Nothobranchius furzeri: one gene and its partner. The protein of the gene in region 1 purifies or fractionates together with the protein of each later gene. This does not show direct contact. Links are inferred from orthologs where the notes say so. Each region holds a gene or a part of one and is shown on either strand. Other genes may lie near its edges.

Region 1 (4,414 bases):
GACACAACGAATCGATGACGCAATTCGTTGCCAACGCTTTTAGTAATCGATTTTCATCGAATTTATCGATTCGTTGTTGCAGCCCTAGTTGCAGTGACCCTGGAACATTTCAGCGGCCTTCCCGCAGTCCCGCCCAGGCTGGGAAAGGAGACAGAGTTGAGCTGCCATAGCGACGGCACATTCCATATATCTTCTGAGGGGGGAGTTTTCGTTGGAGCCTTGCAGGCTCAAGGGCTCCAGATTCCGATTAGAAATTGTTTTGGGGCTAGACAGAGATAACTTCCTCTCTGTCTTACAGTTTGTTGGTCCTCAAACTCTCAAAATCCCAATAATGGACATTAATCTATCCCAATCCGTGCTGATTCGTTCACTCTCTCCTTGATGGCACCCTTTTGTGCCAATGAAGGAATCTCGGCCAAAGTTCCAAGCTTACGATTCATCTCGACAATTATTTGAGTCTGTGAATTCACAGCGCGGTGCAAACCATCTCTGAGCTCCGGGATCAGGCCAATAATCCTCGACAGCTCGTTAATTTTCCGGTAAGCCAGGTAGCCTCCAAGATCAATGAGCAGGAAACCTGACACCAACACCACGAATACCCACACGTCTTCAGAGTCCTCCACAGACAGCTGAGATAAACAAATCAAGTTCCACTGTTTCCAGGAGTCCATGATGTGTCCAACTGGGTCTGTCCCAGCGGGGCATCCAGGAGCCCCTTCTCCTGTTCTCATCGTTGAAAAAACTTTATCAATCACGTTGAGAGACCAACTGACGAGATCCATTTAAGTGAATTTCAGTTTCCAGAAAAATGCAGAAGCAGCCATGCACCCAGCACACACAGACAGACAGAGGGCCTTGAGGATAACATATGGAGGAGAGGAGGAAAAAAAGCGTCTGCACCCTCCAAGAGCCGGAAGAAGAATGTTCTAGAATGTCCTAACGTTTTAGGGCACCTCTTAGCCAATAGCGATGGCAGATTTAAATTCAAATGTAGTGCAGTTTTTACCTGACAATGACACAACACTGACAGTTTCAGGCAGAAATTTTAAATTTTAACTAAAATGCACTAAAGTGCTAAACTATTGACTACATGTGCCTGCAGCGCGATTACATACACATTTATATAGTTTATCAGAAAAAAAGTTGATTTGGGGTGACTTGCTCTTTAACGATTTTGGGGGAGAAAAATAAAATCTAAATAAACTCTTGTTTTGGTATTCTTTATAATAAAACGTAGAATTTTCACAGGTTTAGAAAAAAGTAACCGTTTTGTTTGAGGTCATTTGATTGTAGAGACCAGATTCGTCCAGCAGGCGGCAGTAATGCAACAATAAAAGGACCCAGAAGAAAACAAACATGGCGTCCTTCCATAGTGATGAGTGGAGAGCTATATGCGACAAATTCAACAACGCCCAAAATCTCACCGAAGTAGAATCTAGAAATGACCCAGAGAACGACCCGTTCCGTTCCAAGTACAAAGCCCGGGAACTTCTCAGAGAAATCTATTGTTCACTGAAGAGTTTAGAAGCTGGTGACGGTGAGCAGGACGCCGACGGCGGAGAGAGCGGGGACCAGCTACCGACGGAGCAGCCGGTGGACGACCAAAAGGAGGAGGGTGTCTTCTCTCGGGGCTTCAGCGGTGACTCCCCAGCGGGGAAGCGAGTGGCCAAGCTCGGAGCTGTGGAATATTTTCTGGGCGTCAACCATGTGGACACGGAGGAGCTGTCAGCCGGGCAGGAGCATCTGATGAACTGCATGAAGCTGCTGGAGAGATGCGGGGTGTCGTCGGAGAATGTGTCGCTGTTCATTAATGTCAGGGTAACGAACGATGACGTTTCATCTGGTTTAGTAATGGCGGAGTTGGCATCATTTCAGGTGTGTGAGTACATAAGCTGATGGTGTGTGTGTGTTTGCTCTCCGTTCCGTCAGAACCAGCTGGGCATCCTCTGGGCTGGCCGAGATGAGACCGAGATGGCTCAAGAGTACCTGGAAAAAGCGGAGTCCATCTACCAGCGTTACATGAAGGAGGTCAGTTAGGTTTTCTGAGCAGCTGCTGGTGCACTCACTCAAACTGTAGCTGATCCAGAACTGTTTTTATTTGGACATTTCATTTGCAGCACGCTTGTTCATCAGGACCACATTGCTCTGTTCCTGTTCTGTCATCACGCTTCTCACGACCCTTTCTGTGTATTTTACGCGGCCAATGAGTCTCGTATATATAATATATAATCACAAACACTGCAGTTGAAATTTTATGAGGTCAAATCCTCCCCAACATCTGGGATTGTTGTGTTTTCTGTGCCTCGTGAAGGATGGGACTCCTCCCACCGACATGACGGAGTACTTTAGTGCAGAGGAGAACCTGCTGACACACCAGGAAAGGATCAAGAGGTAATTTCTGAACCCCAGCTTCCATAAGCATGCTCTGCACGTTTTAAATTATATTTCTCTTCCACCAGGTTCGAGCTGGCCTACACCCACACCATGTACTACCTCGCTCAAGTGTATACAAACCTCGGTGAGTGTGTGTGGCTGAAGTTCTCGTTACCGGGTAGTTTAGATTACATATGGATGTTTCACCATCGTTTGTCTCTCAGGTCAGAAAGAGCGTGCTGCCACCTACTGCCACTGCACCCTGCAGAGACAGTTACAGTTAAACCAGTTCAACCCGATGGAGTGGGCTCTGAATGCAGCTGCGCTGTCTCAGTATTACATCCCAAAGGTACCACTTGGGTGCAACGGGAAATTGTTGACTTATGAGTTAAAATCTCAAAGGATGTTGATTCTTCTGTTGTAAACTTTAGTAAGCGTCTCGCATTTGTGCTGGTGTTCTTCTCAGGGCCGATACATGGAGGGCAGGCATTGCCTTGCAGCAGCTACTGTTGTTTCAGGTTTGGCTGGAGAGGTTCCGTCTGAGGCCGTAGCTCAGGAAAGTAAGAGCCCTCTCATGAAAACATTTTATTTAAACGCCTGTCCCAGAGTCGAGTAAACCGGCGTAGTTTTCACCTCTCCTTGCTTCACCTTGCTTCACCCTGTTCCTCTAGACTTGTTTATCATTCCTCTCTTTGGTCACTGGCACATCCGATCGTCTCTTTCTGTCCGACTCAGGTGAGGCGGAGAGCGAGCGCAGAGAACAGCTCAGACAGAAGAGAGCAGAGATGGCGAGATGTTGGATTAAATATTGTCTAAATCTCCTACAGGATGCTAAGAAACTCCTGGAGGTACTGTTTGTGCCTGTTAACGAAAACCAGAGAAACGGAATAAATTCCTCTAACTGTCAGATCTTCACGCTGGTTTTTAAGTCTTGTATGAAAGTCTTGTGGGTGTTCGTGCAGGACAACATCGGTGAGCTGGATACGGATCGTCAGGATGAGCTGAGGAGAGCGAGACGACGACAGGAGGAGGAGGAAGAAAAAGGGAGGAAGAGTGCTCTGCTGTTTGGCTCTGAAGACACTTTTGATTCTATTGCAAGTGTGGAAGAAAAGGTCTGAGTCACCCGAGTTCAAACTTTATGTTGGTTATTGTGTGGGTCTTTGTTTTATGAGGTCATAAAGCTTTGTTTACATTTTCTTTAAATGCACACACACACACACACACACACACACACTGCGTTAATGTAGTAAAGAAACATGGAGTGGATTAAGTTAATCTCACAATTATGATTTTGTATTTAAAAAATATTACACAAAAAGTGTGTAAAATTCAAGCATGCATGATAGAAGAAATGAGATGTTCGTATCAAGAAATTAAGAGTCAGAAGATGTCGGATATCTGTAAGATAACAAAAGGCCAATGTCGAGCAACCCTAGTAGCTTTGTCATTTTTATTTTTGTCAAATTCCTTCATTTCACTGTGCATTATGTTTTGTTTGTTTTTTTCATTATATAAGTTTGAATGTTTAATATAATAAGAGAATCTTAAAAACTATTAATGAGGACTTTGGGTGCCTTGTCAGTAGGGGGCGCTATTCTATAGATTTTATTAAGTCACTTTGCTGACTGCTTTTTTGTGTTTTTGGTTTGTTTTGCGTCCTCCGTCTCTTACAGGTCATGTGTTTGCTACCTCTGGACTTCACGGAGGCCAGATCGGTTTTTCTGGTGGGACAGAATTATGTCACGCAGGTACGCACAGCAGGAAACCGTCTCTGTTTAATTGACTGAAACTCGTATATTACATCACAAGTAGAGGAACTCTGCAGGAATGTGGAGTTTAAACACCTTACAGTAATTCTTTACCAGCATAGAACATCATTTGTATTTGAAACTATAAATTTGATTTTTCCAATTTTTAAAAAGCACAAGTTTTCTACATTTTTTCAAAAAAGCCTTTTTAAAAATGTTAATTTGTCCGAATAAATAAAATTTATTTTGATTGCAAAATAATTATTTCAAAAGGATTTTAACATTAATATTTA
Region 2 (3,815 bases), on another chromosome or scaffold:
ATTCTGGAATTAAGGAAACCGTTCAAAACATTTTAATGGAGGCAATCTTCAAAAATGTACATCCAGGTGATGCAGATGTTTTATTTGTGTTGCAGCCTCTCCTCAGTGGGGTGCCATGAAACTGTCCCTGATGATTGAAGAGGCCAATAAGATCAGTGTTAAACTGAAGAAACACACGGTCTTCAGCAGGTGGGAGAGACGCTTACTAATGCACAAATAGAGGTTTTAGGTACTTCTGCACCACGTTCCTCATCGTCATCGAGATTTGTCTGTGTAGAAGCAACGTTTAGCCTTTTTTAAACAAGCATTGTTGTGACTTTCGTTCAGATGAGCCAACTATGGTGTCGCTTTCTTCTGTTTTAGATACGAGAGCTCAGATCGTGAGAACCCGGAGCAGCCGGTGCTGCAGGTGCGGGTTCAGAACACAAAGCTGGGGATCTCCACCTTCTGGAGTCTGGACAAGTTCCAGAACAACATGGCTGCCATGAGAGAGCTCGAGCAGGTTTGAGTTCAGCCGGCTTTATATTTCATCTCAGAACAGTGGTTAACCGTCGGGTCAGGGGTGGGGAATCCTGGTCCTCAAGGGCCTCTATCCAGCAGGTTTTAGTTGTTTTCCTGCTCCAACACACCTGATTCCTGGATGAATCACCTGTTCAGCACCTCATAAGACTCTGCAGCAGCCTGTTAATCACCAGTGCATTCAAGCCAGGTGTGTTTAAGCAGAGAAACAACTAAAACCTGCTGCATGGCGGCCCTCGAGGACCAGGACTGCCCACCCCTGTATTAGGTAGTTCATGTCTATAGTCTGTAGGAATGTGGAGCACACACATTAGAATGTAAGAGTTGACACAGAGCTGTGTAAACTTCATTTAGCCTGTGCTACACTGAGATCATGCATGATGTGTGTTGAGTAAGATAGACGGCGCCGCTCTTCCTCATTCTGCATATTCACACGACATCCGCTCCACTTAATTGCCAATTTCCCTGCCGTTTGACCTTATTTACAGTCCAGAACGACGTGTTTTATGCCCGGCAGAGGAACGCCGCCTCACTTTGCTGCGCTTTTCTCATTAAGTTGAGTCAGTGCGACTGGGCTTGTCAGCAGTACTTTACTCTCCACAGGGGGATCCCACCTCTAAAGATGACGATGTGTTTTACGACCCTGATGATGAGTGGGAGCAAGATATATCAGCCTCCTCCGCCTCCTTTTCCCGTCGAAGGTAATTATCCCGCTCGTCTCCTCATCCTTCAGCCCGTCTTTTAGTGGGTTTTATTTATGGGGCTTTTAAAACTTCTGCAGTTGCTTGGTATTCCTCGTCAGCTGTGTGAAACGAGGAAAGTCGTCAGAAACGTGAGAGCCGTTCTGATGAGTGTTATTTTTCTTCTGAATGAACTGTCCTCGTGTTCAGCTTTTTACTTCATGCGCAAGAAGAAACTAAAAAAGGACTTTAAATAGAAAACTTTAAAAGAATTTGGCTATTTTGACAAGGTCCTCTGGGTTCCCACAGTGCAATTTACAACCTGGCTCGTATTTAGGACCCTGAGCTGTTCTTTTTTTTTTTTTTATGCCTGCTGAATATTTTCCACCTTGTTGTATTTCCTCTGTTTATTCATCTCATGTTCACAAAAGCCAAAAAAGACATTTGGAAAGGCAATGAAAGGTCTCCGTTTCTCAGTTCACAGCTCTTAAACGGAACATGTGCACACACGCACGCACGCACGCACGGAAAACCTGTTGTGAATGCAGAAACTTTTCCTCTAACAGTTCCGTTGTTGTTCTTGGCGTGGACTCCTGCTGGTGCCCAGATCGGCACCAGATCCAGCCCAAATAAAACACGCTACAGTTTGTGGGCCTGTCATACTTTTCTTTTTTTCTTTGACCCCGTTAAACTAATGCACATGTACTTCACAACCATAATCACTGCTGTTTATTCTCCTCCCCACTTCTGGAATAATCCCTGTAAATTAACTTATGTTTTCCTGCAAATTTTCACAACAAACACACCTAATTTAATTTAAATCACCCTCACAGTTTTTAAAGCTCATTTTCCTGCTTTCACTGAATGAAAGAAATGCACTCTGTGACCAGCAGCGCCTGTGTTGTTTGTAAACAAAACAACTCCAGATGGATGCCATCTAGGATTCCACATAAGTGTGACTTTAAAAGGAGGAAATCTTGACTAACTGCAGTTTGAGCTGCAGGCTGTTAAGGTGATCTCTAGTATGAATGAATGCCTTGTGAAGCGATTTTTGGCGCTCCTGTTTTAGGAAGCAGAAGTTGGTTGGAGGCATGTCGGGGTGGAAAACACCCAAGATTACAAGCCGTACTCTTTGATACTGATATGCGAACGTCTGCCCTCTGATTGGTTAAAAGCAACTCTTATAAACATGAATGTATAGTCTGGCCACGACCCACAGACAGGTTTCAGTTGTGGGGTGGTTGTCTTTCAAACGGTCTCCACATGTTATTGGACAAAGAACTGTAAGGGAAAATGAGAGGTTCTTACATTTTAATTAATGAGCCGTAAGGCGTGGGATTCCATAGGAAGTATGAAATCCGCCTCACGGATCGGGGGTTATTTAAATCAGAAGGTCGGATCTTTTTAATGCATAGATTATGTAACCGTTATGTATTCACTCAGAGACGACAGAATAAAGAGTCAAGTTTAAAAGTTAAGAATTTTATTACTAACGATTAAACTAGGCTTATTTAACAACTAAGTGTGTAGTGTAACTAAAAATGGATGAGGCGGTGAATGGATGACGTGTCATGTAAATCAGAACCAGCAAATCCGAAGAAGCGATTAGTTCTGACGGGAACTGAAGATGTTGGTTTGGAATAAGCTTGGGTTAGTTTCAGAACCAGCATGAGACACCATCAAGTCGGTCTACCTGCCTTGTGGAAGTCCTCTGTAGATCAGGAATGCCGAGGCCCTATCGGACCCTCTCTGGAAACCGAGCCGGTAGAAGCAGCCGCGGTTTCGACCAGACCTGTCTCGAGTTACCTCCGGCACACAACTCTTTATTGGTGTCTGTTCAGACCCAGCCTGGGTCGGTGGAGCTTTTATTCTGAAAGGAGCTGTTGTGTGGTCGCTGGTTGTTATAGCGACTGGATTTTTCAGCTTGTCGAGGTTCTTTCGGTTGAAGAGTTAAAGGTCGGATTGGCCACTCCGACGCTTGCTCTGGAACGCTTTGAACTGGCGTTCGAGCTGACGTGGCGTAGTTTTATACCTCGGATGTTATGGTTTATTGTCGAATGAAAATTACCAAACACCGTCAGAAGCACGCCTCCGTCAGATCTGTAAGGTTCTGATTGGATCAGTGAAATAATGTGTCATGTCTTTTTAACACTACGTGAAATTAGTCCTGTTGGAACATTTAAAGTGACATTTCTTCATTTCTAAGATCATAATAAAATAATTAATATTTTAATTTCACAGATCGGTCACATCTTATTATTGACTAACACTTTGATGGATTAGCTTTATTAAAATAGAGTTCTTTGATTAATTAAAAGAAAAGAGTTCATTCTTCTTTCTTCTGTCTTCATGCTGGAATGTAAACAGTTTGGAAGCAAATGCATGACCTTGAGGCTGTTTCATGCACACTGACACTGTGTCAAAGGGAAACAGCTGTTGGGTAGAAATGGCTCCTTCATCACGTTACAGAACAATGTGATGTGCTCATCACTACGGATGTCAGTCAACGGGGCAGTCCACCATACACTGTCTGAAGAAGACACAAATACATCCTTTTTCTAAATAAAGGACTTAAGTACCTCTATCTGCTCTTGACTCAAAGAAAAGCCCAAGTCT

What was found.
Region 2: the proteins of kifbp (region 1) and kif14 purify together in Homo sapiens (affinity purification with mass spectrometry; 3 studies listed by BioGRID and IntAct, counting the BioPlex papers as one, with this or other methods). This does not show direct contact. The link is inferred for Nothobranchius furzeri from reciprocal best matches to the Homo sapiens genes KIFBP and KIF14.

The regions. Positions count from the first base shown.
Region 1 is NC_091749.1:53,758,620-53,763,033, forward strand, and holds the start of kifbp (KIF-binding protein), read left to right. Parts: upstream 1-1,319; 5' UTR 1,320-1,356; coding exon 1,357-1,818; intron 1,819-1,929; coding exon 1,930-2,028; intron 2,029-2,311; coding exon 2,312-2,391; intron 2,392-2,459; coding exon 2,460-2,518; intron 2,519-2,597; coding exon 2,598-2,722; intron 2,723-2,839; coding exon 2,840-2,933; intron 2,934-3,108; coding exon 3,109-3,221; intron 3,222-3,335; coding exon 3,336-3,485; intron 3,486-4,046; coding exon 4,047-4,121; intron 4,122-4,414. UniProt on the Homo sapiens protein: Activator of KIF1B plus-end-directed microtubule motor activity. Required for organization of axonal microtubules, and axonal outgrowth and maintenance during peripheral and central nervous system development.
Region 2 is NC_091748.1:63,552,468-63,556,282, reverse strand, and holds part of kif14 (kinesin-like protein KIF14), read left to right. Parts: intron 1-95; coding exon 96-189; intron 190-363; coding exon 364-502; intron 503-1,122; coding exon 1,123-1,220; intron 1,221-3,815. UniProt on the Homo sapiens protein: Microtubule motor protein that binds to microtubules with high affinity through each tubulin heterodimer and has an ATPase activity. Plays a role in many processes like cell division, cytokinesis and also in cell proliferation and apoptosis.